Kluyveromyces lactis: one gene and its partners. The protein of the gene in region 2 interacts with the protein of the main gene of each other region in a pairwise test. Links are inferred from orthologs where the notes say so. Each region holds a gene or a part of one and is shown on either strand. Other genes may lie near its edges.

Region 1 (4,486 bases), about 1.0 Mb from region 2:
CGTCAGCAGAATAGACCCAAGAGAGGAGCAGATAGCAATGCTCCAGCGATCAGATTAACTACTATCAACTCCATCGACCATTGTGAACTGTATTTCGGAAAACATTTCAAAAAGGATTCAAGAGAATACCTTGTCAACGTTGCAGCTGCCGTGGTGGTGCTCAGAGACATAGTAGGGACATTGCCTCCAGATCTCAGGCCGATATACTCCCAAAATTTGAAGTATCTCTCTAGTTGGTTGAATGATCCAAACATGGCATGGCCTTTGCCAGATGTTTATCCGATCAGCATTTATACTGCAATAGATGTTGAAAAATCGTTATTGACAGAAGTAACTTATAGCCAGACAGGTAATGATTTAAAAGAACAGTTCATCAATGACAGAAAGCGCAGGAATAGGGGCCATTCGAAAGAAAGGTCTTCCTTATTGTATTATAAATCTAAAAGAGTTAAAAACGACTATTCCACCAATCCATTAAAACAAGATATGGCAGTTCTTACATGGGTATCAGCATCTGGCCGGCAAAACGGCGAAATTGATTATCATTTAGCCACTGATATCCTGACTCATAAAATGATCCAGTCCATTGAAAATATCTACGCTATGAATCAGAGACAAAAGTTGGAATTAGATGATTTTGAAAGAATGGAATCTATTCAAAATCATCATTTCAACAAGGTCAATAAGGATTATAATGATATTAAGGAAAAGCTTGAAGAATCCGAAAAGAAGCTAAAAGATGATGACGTTAAGGTAAAAGATTTCCTTGAGGAATCAGAAAAGAAGCACAAACAGATTGAATTCATAGATTCAGAAATTAATGATTTAATGACAAAATTAGGGTCTAAAAGCGAACCACATAAGGTTTTGAAGGGTTTACTAGAAGAAATTTCAAACTTGCAAGATGCCCGCGAGAGAGAAAAACGAAATTCGGAGTCTAAATCTTCTGAGAGAACATACATGCAAAAGGAGATAGAAAGAGCCGCTCAATCTGTTGATGAAAGCAACAAAGAACAAGATAAATTAAGAGAAGAAATCAAGCTCTTGAAAACGAAAATAGAGGACAGTGTAGCCGAAAATAAAAAGAAGGTTGCCAGTGCTGAACAGAGAATAGATCTCTTGAAATCACAACTACAACAGGAAGGGCAAAATCTTGGAGGGCTTCATTCTAAACTTGGATATATAACTGATAGACTATCGAAAATTCAACCCAGCAGAGGAAGACAGGCGACTAATGGCCGATCGAAGAAATGATACGTAATTTTAACATCCATAATGATTAACGTTTTTACAAATTTGCGTAGAATTAATTAGACTCCCCATTTGTTAACTGAGCGGTCCCAACCCGCGCTATATATATCAGGACCTACAATATCAATTGACATAACCTTATCAAGATGCCCTTCAAGGCTTCGTTCCTTTATCCAGTTCCCATCATTGAAGATATTTACTTTCTTGTCATATCCACTCGACACTAAATATCCTCCGTTTTGCTTATTGAATTTGACTTGTGAAACAATGCTATTGTGAGCTAAGATCGTTTCCACATTTCCCTTTTTCCTAATATCCCAAACCTTTATAGTCCCGTCACCACTACCAGACGCAAGCTGATATCCATTTTGGGACCAGTCAACGGAATAAATAGGTTTTGAGTGTCCCTGTAATGACATGATATTTTTACCGGACCGTATGTCCCATATTAATGCAATTGCATCCAAACCAGCTGTACTCACCAATGAGCCATCATTGTGAAAAGATAGTGAGAAAACCTCCGCAGAATGACCTTCCTGAATCAAAATAGGGGCTTGTTTCACAGTATCTATCAGGATCCATGTTTTGTCAAAAGACGTACTTCCAATAAAACTATTACATGGATGGCATCGTACTTGGGCAAACCTGGCATCATTTTTATACAAGATCTTAACTGTGGTTTCATCACCACTATCATATATTACAATGCGTCCATCATGGGTACAGACAAAAATGTTTTTAGAGTCCACGCTCCAATCCAATCCACTAATCTTTGTGCCAGATAAAGATCTATTGCAGTAGATTTTGGACAACGAATTATCGACCAGAGACAAATTTCCGGACCAACTGCCACAAGCCATCAGGTCTCCACCAGGAGAAGTATTAATTTCAGAAATAGGTTTCTCATCTATCACCTGCATTCCCTTCAAAGAGAACTGTTTCAATTTACTTTCCAGGTCCCTTCGCTTACTTATGACGTTTTTCACATTTTGGCTGACAAGTCTTCGTCTCTCCTCCTCAAGCCTCAGCTTAGAGCGTTGCATAGAGTATATTATAAGAAACTTCCTCATTTCTATCAACTGCTGTGATGCTGGAGTGTAGAACTCCTCGTCTTCATCATCTACTTTACTTCTTTCAGTATCGATTTTCGTCTGGTCTTTGGAAGTTGACTCTACTAACCTTGTAACTCGTTCTCTGGCTTTTGGATCGCTAAGAATAAGATCAGAAAGTCGATCTCTGCGAGAATAATTATCTTCGCCAGCGATATCAACGGGCTCTCCCACTAGCTCTAGTGCTCGTCTAACGTCTGTATCTAGAGTAGGCACAATTTTGAGCCTTTCTTGCCTTTGGAATTCCAATCTTTTCAGAGCATCTCCGACTGATTGCCCATCCTGGTTTTTGTAGTCAACATCTACCTGCAAATCATCTAATTCTACCATTAGAAGTTACTGCAGATAGTCCAAAGGTGAGTTGTTACCGGTGCCACTTTTTTGATTTCATCTCTTTATCATCTCACTTCTTTAAAAGCATATTCATAAAATGAACTTTATCGTTATTCCTGAATATGAATAGTTCAAAAGTTGGAAAACAAGTGAGGTACTCCATCGAGTAAAAAGGGTCTGAAGCTAGGCGTCGATCGAACGATCATGAGTGAACAGCAGTTGTTAAGAGATAAACACATTGATTATATTGCGTCTTTAGATACTAAGAAAGATGATCTAGAGTACTGGCTCTCAGAACATCTAAGGTTGAATGGGGTATACTGGGGATTGACAGCCCTCTATCTCCTTGATTCTATCGAAACATTCAATAAGGAGGATGTAATACAGTTTGTCCTAAGCTGTTGGGATCATAAAACTGGTGGGTTTGCTGCGTTTCCAAGACATGATGGTCATCTATTAACGACTCTTTCAGGGCTTCAGATTTTGGCTACTTACAACGCTTTAGAGCGCTTGGGTTCAGAGAAGCAAGAACAATTGGAAAAATTTATCCTATCCAATCAAAAAGCAGACGGCTCATTCCAAGGTGATAGTTTTGGTGAAGTCGACACACGTTTCGTATATACTGCATTGAGCTGTTTGTCCATTTTACACAAATTGACGAAAGAAGTTGTAGAACCAGCAGTTTCGTATATCCTTAGATGTTACAATTTCGATGGCGGATTTGGCTTAAATCCTGAAGCAGAATCTCATGCTGCTCAGGCATTTACTTGCATTGCTGCTTTAGCAATCGTCGGAAAATTAGACTCTTTAACTCCAGCTCAGCAGGAGAATATTGCTGTTTGGCTCTCAGAAAGACAAGTTCCAGAGGGGGGCTTAAATGGTAGGCCAAGCAAACTGCCCGATGTATGCTATAGCTGGTGGGTATTATCAACACTTTCAATACTCCAAAAAGCTGATTGGATTGATTTTCCCAAGCTAACGGAGTTCATTTTGCATTGTCAGGATCCCAAAAATGGAGGGATTAGTGACAGACCAGACAACGAAGTCGACGTATTTCACACGGTTTTTGGTCTAGGAGGATTAAGTATAATGAAGTATCCAGGATTAAGAGATATTGATCCAGTATACTGTATGCCATATACGGTGACGAAATATTTCCAACGCAAGTACTCAGATTAGTGTCTTAGAAACTTAAATAAATTATGAATGCTAACGACCGCAAAAAGTAGGTCCACAAGTAGTTTAATATTGATAAATTAAAATGGTAGCTCTTCCTCTACTAGAACCTTAGAAGCAGGGAAGAATTCTATATATTTGGCAGCTCTTTTGTGAATAAATCTACCGGGGTTGATCGTTTTGCATCCGTTGTACGTTACATCGAAAGCTGGTGCGCTAGTGTCACACAGCATGATACTCGATGGAAGCGGTGATAGCTGCAATGTGAAATCAAGATCCCAAACAGTTGGTCGAATTCTTGATGAAAACGGAGATAGATGTTGTTGATCGAGCAATGTTTTCACCAATTTCCTCGATTCTAAAACACTTACAGGCAAATTATTCTTGAATGCGATTAACTGGCCTACTGAAACATCCGGGTTTCTTGAATATTGCTCTTGAAGTTCTGCATTTTCCAGATATTTCTCCTCTTCCACAGTAGGGAAAACAATATTGTATCTTTTAAATCTATTTGCTAAATCATCGCGTGTCAGAACAATCTCTTGTGATAGATATGCAATTCTTAATGGGTTAGAGCCCCAATGCACTTTTCTACAAATTCTACTCATTTTTTGAGT
Region 2 (3,579 bases):
GACTTATATAATATTATGAATGATATGTGGTTATTGTATAAAATGTTAACACGTTGTATAAGTTAATATAAGAGTACGAACAATTTCTCAGTTTGCATTATCCTTGTCAGGGGTCCCAAGTTTCCTCATGTCTCGTCTCTTTGGTGCCAAATGTTCGAGTAGTCCCTTTGGTTTCGATGCAAGATACGTCTCCTGGTACCATTTATCGAACGTCTCTTTGCTCTCTTGTCGTTGCCGTATCAATTCCTCGATATCGCTATTAAACTGTATTACTTGCTGCAATTCAGCAGTGTCTGTATCCGGCAGCAACTGAAGGCTGGGCAAAGTTAGCTTCTTCCTCCCCTTGGGCCATTTCTCCGACGATTCAACTCCATGGTATAATACCACTTTCCTTAACTTTGAATCCATTACTTATGATTTGCCTGGTGATGGTGGCGAATAATCTCCAACTATACAATCTGATCTCACCGAAGGCTACTCAACCTGCTATGATACTATTGAAGTCGTCTGATATACTCTCTCTGTACCCTCTGTTCATCAGTTTGTTGCAAACAATATTTAAAACTTGATTCATTCATTTAACTTCATTCTATGGTTGATATTAATTTCAATTAGACACATAATGCCACATGTAGCGACACACAATGAGCGATACCAGTGAAACAATATGTTCCATGTGTCAATTGTTCTACGTGAACAAATGGGTGCTCGGTACAGGTGGTGGTATCGGCATTAAACAGGACAACATCGCATACATATCACCAAGTGGCATTGAGAAAGAACTGTTGGAACCTGAACAAATTGTTAAATACAATATACAGGACGATACTTATCAATGTGGTGCGCCTGGATTGAAACCCTCTGCGTGCACACCGTTATTCCTGGAGCTATTCAAGACGCTGGGTGCCTCGTGCGTCATACACACGCACTCTATCAATGCGGTGCTTTGTTCAATGATATATGAGAAGGAGTTTACCATCAAGGACATTGAACAAATCAAGGCGATACCCAAAGGTGACGGTACCAATTTGAGGAACGTTGATACCCTACGTATTCCAATCATCGATAACGCTCCAGAAGAACAGGATCTCATGCCAGCGTTGAAGCAAATGATTAAGGATTATCCAAATGCATGTGCGGTACTGGTGAAAAGACATGGACTCTTCGTTTGGGGCCCCACGCCAAAGAAAGCCAAGATATACATCGAGTCCATCGATTACCTCTTTGAAGTAGCTCTCAAAATGAAAGAACTCGGTCAATGAAAGGGAGACCAGCAGCTGTGTATAACATTATTTATATTTCATCTGTTAGCCCATCGCTCACTCCAAATGTCTATTTCTTCTTTAAACGGTAACTTATTCTTACACGCTGGGAACTTCTGAAGTTTTGCCAGTTCTTTTTCTTCTGGTATATCATCTATCAGCCCACATAATACCACTTCACTACTCCGTATAATGCATATCTTGCTGTCCTTTAAAAGAATCATGTTTCCCGCATGATCAAACCCTTTCATTTCACCATAGTATGTGTCTCCATCGACATTGACCAACATCACCTTCTTGTCCAAATAATCTTTCAATAGAGCACTCATTGTCCATTCACTGTTCTAGCAAACAAGGGGGCAGTTATGTGGATATCTTCGCTCCGATGGATCGTTATCTTTTCTTCGTTACTATTATAATTTGAAAGTAATGTTTTCTATTTGAAGATTCTCTATTATCAATAACAACAACATCTTCAACAAAGAAGAATCACACATCATAACAGAAGTATACAGGCTTCTACAGCAGTTATCTAGAGTTGTGTTGTGGCTAATATTGTTAGAAGCTCCGAATCACGGTTGAAATGGCGGAAGAGAATGAAAGTGAGACCGATTACGGGTCTTCTCCCTTTAAAAAGATTCCAGACGCCGACAAACAGATCTTAGAATGGACTAGTCGTCTAGAGTTGGAGACTGTGCAGTTGCGGGACACGTCTGAGAGTCTATTCAAGATTATCAAGGAGAACGTGGATGAATTGAGCCATTCGCGAAAGTTATTCCAAGCAGAACTTGACAGTAGAAAAGGTATGGTTTCTATGCACAATGAAAGGAATATCTACTTAGTATAAGGGCATTTACTTAGTTCTATCTACGTGGATTGGTCGTTGATTGATACCCTTTAGGAATGATTCTTTGTAAGAGTCACTACGGTCAGTTTTTACTAACTAGGAAAATAACGGATGAGACTCCGAGAAGTCGCCGTTATTTCTGTGTGTATTTAGATGGTAATCAAGAAACGGGAACGGAGATTGTCTCTGAAGTAAAGTCTCGTTTGGATCAATTAAAGGCATCAAGCGGTGAAAGTTTGCAACTTTTAGCGGATAATATTACGAAGCAGATGGATAAACGACATCGAGAATGGATGGACAGATTTACCATGAATGAAAATGTCATGTTCAATGTCGTGCAACAAATGCAAGACCTCACGGATGCCATCCAGACGTTGCATGAAGATATGAGGTTAGCTAGCAAGAGGCAGGCGTTGCTTGAGAAAAGATTGAGACATGAATCTATCGCTACGCCTGAATCTCAACACCTAAATCAAAACCAGACACAACGACTCAGGGTATTAATCCCCTGGGAAGAAGTTCAAGAGTGCGAAATGAAATGATTGACCACATTTCTGTCGGCATCGATGGCAATGGTAAGATTTGTTTTGCCGAACGCGGTGTTCGGGTCAATGAAGTTTTTATAATATAGTTCATAACAAGGCATATATCTATCAACAAACGCCTTCACTTGCGCATCAGTCATTCCTTCGCCCTGAGATGCTAGCATAGCATGCTCTTGTTGTAACCTCCACCTATATACATTGTTGGTGTCGTCAGTTGCGAACTTGATACCGACAGTATCCAATGACTCATTATTCCATAGCAATTGTCCGTACTCTTTCAACGAACGGTTCACTTGTTTCAGATGTAACAACTGGTGGTTCAACAGTATAGGTGACGAATTTTTCCTTTCCAATTCTGTTTCTGTAATGGCTTGGAACCCAAGGAACCATCCCTCGATGATCACACAGTCCAATGGCAATTCAATATCAATACTGCCAATCCTGTCTCCTTCTCCGTTAAATCTAGACTTGTCATATACGGGCAACTGGATCTTTTTACCATCATGCACTTTGTCTTCATCATTTGCAAGCTCTTTCAATGTCTCTTGCAATGCTTTCAAGTCATGAGTGCCCGGTAACCCCCTTCCATGTAGTAATTTATTCTCTGGGAATGCTGACTGTAACTTCAATTGGTCCTCATGGGTCAGATAAAAATCGTCAATGGATGTCAATGCTGCTCTCACGCCCTTCTTCTTCAACGAACGAAACAATATCTCACTATTATACGACTTACCAGACCCTTGTGGCCCGGAAACCAACACAAACAAAGGACCTTTCCTGTCACCTTGAACTTTCCGTTGTTCCAATTTCTGTTCAACAAACTCCACGCTTAACTCTGCAACGTTCATTTCTATTGCAATCTCTCTTCAAACCCAGCAATCCAATACCATACGGTGGTTTCAGTCTCCAATGGTTGCAGATCTTG
Region 3 (5,207 bases), on a different chromosome or scaffold from region 2:
TGGAATTTTTTGTAAAGTGTCTTATTCATATGCATCACCCTATGCAGCCAATACTGCCACGAATCTACGATACAAAACCCAATAAATATCCTTATCATAGACCATCCATAGCAATACATAAACTTGATGAAAACAGATGGTACGAAAAAGGGTAAAGATTGCCTCCATTTCCACATCTCATACTTCTCAAACCCTGAAGTCGGCACAGGATCCAAGTAGAGCATACCAAGTCCAGTAAATGTTTGAATGAAATGTTGTAATATCACCTCTTTTAAAACCTCTAATCTTGAGGCCTTATTCCGCTGTTGTACTTCCTCGCTTGGATGAATCCTGTACTGTTCGAAAACCTCATTGGTATCAATGTAATGGAAAAACATCGAATAAAGCCAATAAGCAACAACAGGTAGTGCTAAGGCAAGTTTCCCATCAGAAATCCAAGGCAAAATATCCTGTTTCTTCGTTATCACAGAAGCAGGTGGAGCTTTAGAATTCATAAACGACACATCCATAGCATCTTTCACCTGCAAATACAAGTGCTGCACTGCACTTTCAACAATATTTGCCATAGTTATAAAACCGATACAGCACACGCAAAATATTGTATCTCCTTATCCTCGAACTGTATCCGACAGAAAACAGCTCCTCTCAAGTATAAATGGACTTATAAGTTTTGTATGACACTGCAAATATCAGTTTGTGTATCTGATTTCGTATCTTGCTTCGTATTTTATATAGTTGCTGTCTCTCTTCAGTATGATCAAAAAAAAAGAAACAGTAACTCCAGAATAACTTTTTACCTAATCTCAAGCCTTACCCTTTCAATATTATTGCAGCCTTCTTCGCTTGGTATGCCAACATTAGCCTATACGCTTCGTATAAATACAACCACTGATCTTATAACGCAATACATTTATAACGCAATTCTGTATTCTCGACACCATGTTATGCTAGAAAAACTAAGAAAAACCCGAAGCCTCTAAGGGAAAACAGGATTGTCGTTAAAGAAACACCAGAGAAAACCAGAGAAACGGTGTTAAGGTTTCTCAAATTTGGTCATGTGACATTTTTTTTGCTTTTTCTTTGGTGTCCGGGTTCCTGCTTCTTCTTCCGTTAGGCGTTAATGCATGCATGAGACACATATGGTATGAAGCGGTAGAAAAGTAGAGGAAGTAATATGATGATTACAGAACCTTTGATATTTAGGTTACGTGATGATGGAAACAAGGGAGAAAACTGCTAGTAATCACCTTGTCAAATCAGTTAAACGCCGGTAGTGAGCTGAGGGTTTGTTTATATTATTTACAGAGTCGGATTGTCTGCGGGTTATATATGTACATGTAGTGATTTCTTAAAGACGTGACGAGTGAAGCAGTGAAAGATCTGAGCTCGGCTCAGCTTTTGCAACTGGAAATAGTTTGTATTTGCTTGTTTTCTTTTGTAACTCATAGAGAGATGTTTTGAGCAGCTGACTCCTGTTGTCTCACTCTTGCGAACTCTTCTTTGGCTCTTTCGCCTAGTTCTTTCAAAATTGCACTTTCCTCTCTGGAAACGTTCCCCAAACGTTCTAGTGTTGTGTGATTCAACTCTGGCAATACTGGGTTCCAGTATTTCTCTTTATCCCCCATTCTCCATTCGTCTTCCCAATGGACCTTAATGGACGATTGGACGTCTTTCAACTTTAGGAGACATTCTCGCAAATCGGCAACCGCTTCTTGAGAGTATGTTGGTCTGTATTGCGATGAGTACCATGTGTGGCCGGACTCATTCTTCTTTCTCATGTCTTTTGCCTGTTTACTGAATGTCACATCACGGAGATATCTTAATCTGCACAAATTCTGGTATACTTTTACACTCTTGTCGTAGTCTGGTAGATCAACAACAGCCATACATTTCCAAATATCACGTCTGGTGCTTGGTTTCTTATTCTCCCAGTTGGGTCTTTGGAAATTGGTATCAATTTGCTTCCAAGAAAAAGTCGGGAATTGAGAGTACAGCACTTGTCCACTCTCTAGGTTTCTGAATAAAAAGACTTGTGGTGCATACCCTGCTTTCTGTAGCCAGTTGGCTGGACGGAACTTGGTAATAGCTAAATGCTTGCTCATCTCTTCCTAGTGCCCTATGGTGTCTTCAAGCCTTATTTGTTAACAACAAAAGCCTTGATCCTCAGAGTTCTCTTCTATCTCCAGTGCTATTGATGGACTTCTGAAGAGTTATTTAAATACAATGTGTGCACAAATGTGGTGATCTCTTCTGTAATCAAGCTAAACTAACTATCAGCTTTCTCTTTTTCAAAATTTTTCAGCTTTTTCAGATGCCATAAACAACTTCGTAGAAACACTGAAAATTAAAGAGAATGAACCTAATATATACATTACCCGGATCTTGTGATGATATTGAATTCTCCGCTACCTGCTCTATCTTATCTTGGATCTCATCTCCAGAGAAAGGTTTTCCTATCAGCAGACACGCACAGTAGAGTTATCACCTTCATCCGTCAAGTGTCCGCATATTCCACCATCTAGAACTTGATGTTTGAATTGAATTATGGAGCCGTTCCTACGTCCCGGACAGATTGCTTAGCTAGAGTTCTCGATTGTGGAGATGATAACCGTGGATCGATAAGTGCCATTTGTGAGCCGGACTTGACAATTGACGGGAATTCAAGCCTAGCAAGCAGTGAGAATTATACCAATTGTAAAATCTGTGGAGGGTTTGCGAATTTTTTATGTTCAAGAGATTCACGAGCTGGGTGGTTTTGTTCTTTTTGTAATGCTTATAATGAACTAGGGAATATTCCATTATCATCGTCATACCTAAAACATTTAGGAACTGCTGCTGTGCCTACGCATTCCAAGTTCGCCATAATCATCGATCTTAATTGTGAATTTGAGGAAAATCTAGACGCGTTGAAGATGTTACAATTTGGTTCTGTCCAGTCATTGGCCCTGATCACGATTGAAGATGGGTCTGTCACTATTCATACTGACGGGTCACACATTACCGTAGATGCAGAATCTAGTAGTTGTATCAGCCATCTTAAGAAGCTTGACACAGAATGGTTCATTGCAAAGTATGGGCTTTTAGTGAGGAAGATTTGGACGGACCAAATATCTTTCGGTGCTAAACTCGCGGAACTTCTATGTCAACGGACTAGGTCAAAAAAAAGATGTAGAAGAAACACTGCACTCGCTATTTTTCTAGCACAATGTCTAAACCCATCACAATCCATTGCATTTGTTTTCGGACCCTGTACAGTAGCACCAGGTAAGGTTATCTCAATGGACCGAAAAAATCATATCAGGCAGCATAGAAATATAGAGGAAGACAAGGATGTGAAATATTGGAAACCTTCTAGAGAATTTTACAATAAAATGAGTAAGTCCTTAAAGTTTGCTCCATGCACGGTATTCGTCGCATCCATGGATCAGGTCGGAATATGGGAGATGAGATCCTGTTTGAACAACTTTATTCAATACGAATCCTTCAATGATAGAAATTTCATATATGATTGGCAGGCGTATATTCAAGGGAAAGGATGTTATGAAATAACCAGAATTGTTATCAAAACTTCTAACAAGCTATTACTGAATGGGATCTTTGGTCCAGTCTCATCCTTGAAAGACAAGGACACACATGTATCTGACACTCCAAAGGGCTTTGGAGGGTCTGGAACCTTCCGTTACAAAGGGCCAAGTAGTAATCTACCATCAATTTTGATAAGTTTATCTGTTGATACATCTCGCAGCGCTGCTGAAGCCTTGCAAGAAATGCCAGATAAATTTTCCTTTCAAATGGAATGCTACTATAAACACTTGAATCAAGAATACGTTTCTGTAGAAACGAAATTTATTCCCAGTACAACCTTACCAGGTGAACATCTTTTAACCCAAAATTTCCACTGGGATATAATGGCTGGATCCATAATGAAAAAAATATCTTTCGCTGTCTTGTTTCAAGGCAAGTTTTATGATTACGATCTAAGGTGGTGGACGTTAGAAATAGTAAAACTTCTTAAATCATTGAATGCCATCGATGTTCCTGGCATTAAATCCTTACAAGAAGTAACGTACTTTATGCAAAGATCAACTCTCTTAAGGAAGAGAAATACATCGCCTGACGAGTGGATCGTCTACCATTGGACAATTCTGAATTCCCCTTTAAGTCATATATTCAAGATGGTTAGACCCCAAGTGTATTCGACCACAGGGCTTATTCAAAATACAACTGACATCCTTAATTATGCCGAACCTTTATTGGTAGATGGTGGTAACGTCCTTGTGGTACGAGATACTTCAGTAGGAGATAGCAGAGTTGACAGTTTGAAGGCAGCTGCTGATACCATATACCACGATGGAAGTCGATTTCCAAAGCCTTGGTATCGAGAAACCAAGCCAGGTGCTAGTCAGGATAGATTTGTAATTGCACGACTAGGCTTAACTGCAGAACATTCTTTGCATTCTGATGACCTCACGCTTGATAAATACATGGCACTGTTTAAATCAAAAAGTACTGCATGAAAAGTATGTAATCATTCATTTTACCTCTCAACAGATATCATGAACTCTATATATATATAACCAAAACCAAAAGGTTAGAATAGTTCCCCATTTACTGTCGCAACCTTCGAATCTATCGCTCCCCCTTTGAATAACAATTGTATGGCAGGAAAAGATACTATGTACGTATTCCTTGGTTTCTCCATCTGTCGCTTTTCAAAAATGACATATTTCATTTTTTAAAAGATACTATATAATTAAATCTAACCATTCTTTCCGAATAGCACATTAAAAGCCAGAGTCCAGAGGAAAAGAAAGAGAAACTGCAAGCGCGAGCCATTGGGTCGTTTCATTAGGGAAAGAAAGATGAACTCCACTTCCAACCGGACTCAGGTATTTTATATACCTGTTGGCCTAACTCAAGTTCAGAAAGATTTGTTGGAAATTTTAATCTCGATACATGCAGAGTCGTTTGTCTCATGTGTAGATAAACGTCTACTGCCAGAACTACAATCTAAATTAGAAAAAAAAGGGACAAATCTCAAAAGAGACTTGAGTATGACTGCATTAACAGATGTTCAGTTAACTGAATGGTTCTTCGAAAATATAAGAGCTGTCTCGAATCACCCTTGCCTGTTAGTTGAGCATTATATGCCTAGACAGTTTTTGTTAATGGAACCAACTGAAAGGTTGATATACACCAGCGATAAA

What was found.
Region 1: the proteins of LSM8 (region 2) and PRP4 interact in binary tests that used the Saccharomyces cerevisiae proteins (3 or more experiments, as listed by UniProt). The link is inferred for Kluyveromyces lactis from reciprocal best matches to the Saccharomyces cerevisiae genes LSM8 and PRP4.
Region 3: the proteins of LSM8 (region 2) and NEL1 interact in a two-hybrid assay, tested with the Saccharomyces cerevisiae proteins (2 studies listed by BioGRID). The link is inferred for Kluyveromyces lactis from reciprocal best matches to the Saccharomyces cerevisiae genes LSM8 and NEL1.

Annotation. Positions count from the first base shown.
Region 1 is NC_006041.1:426,482-430,967, reverse strand, and holds PRP4 (U4/U6-U5 snRNP complex subunit PRP4), read right to left. Parts: upstream 2,691-4,486; coding exon 1,311-2,690; downstream 1-1,310. Other genes in the region: HDA3 (Hda3p), read left to right, coding at 1-1,254; Rab geranylgeranyltransferase BET2, read left to right, coding at 2,898-3,872; DPB2 (DNA polymerase epsilon noncatalytic subunit), read right to left, coding at 3,950-4,486. UniProt on the Saccharomyces cerevisiae protein: Involved in RNA splicing. Is required for the association of U4/U6 snRNP with U5 snRNP in an early step of spliceosome assembly.
Region 2 is NC_006041.1:1,466,458-1,470,036, forward strand, and holds LSM8 (U4/U6-U5 snRNP complex subunit LSM8), read right to left. Parts: upstream 1,592-3,579; coding exon 1,301-1,591; downstream 1-1,300. Other genes in the region: KLLA0_E16413g (uncharacterized protein), read right to left, coding at 88-408; methylthioribulose 1-phosphate dehydratase MDE1, read left to right, coding at 645-1,262; TDA10 (putative ATP-dependent kinase), read right to left, coding at 2,630-3,502. UniProt on the Saccharomyces cerevisiae protein: Component of the nuclear LSM2-LSM8 complex, which is involved in spliceosome assembly. The LSM2-LSM8 complex plays a role in the biogenesis of the spliceosomal U4/U6-U5 tri-snRNP complex by accelerating PRP24-mediated annealing of U4/U6 di-snRNA.
Region 3 is NC_006039.1:892,494-897,700, forward strand, and holds NEL1 (GTPase-activating protein NEL1), read left to right. Parts: upstream 1-2,528; coding exon 2,529-4,517; downstream 4,518-5,207. Other genes in the region: SUR2 (sphingosine hydroxylase), read right to left, coding at 1-566; MHR1 (mitochondrial 54S ribosomal protein mL67), read right to left, coding at 1,443-2,102; HDA2 (Hda2p), read left to right, coding at 4,863-5,207. UniProt on the Saccharomyces cerevisiae protein: Acts as a GTPase-activating protein (GAP) for SAR1.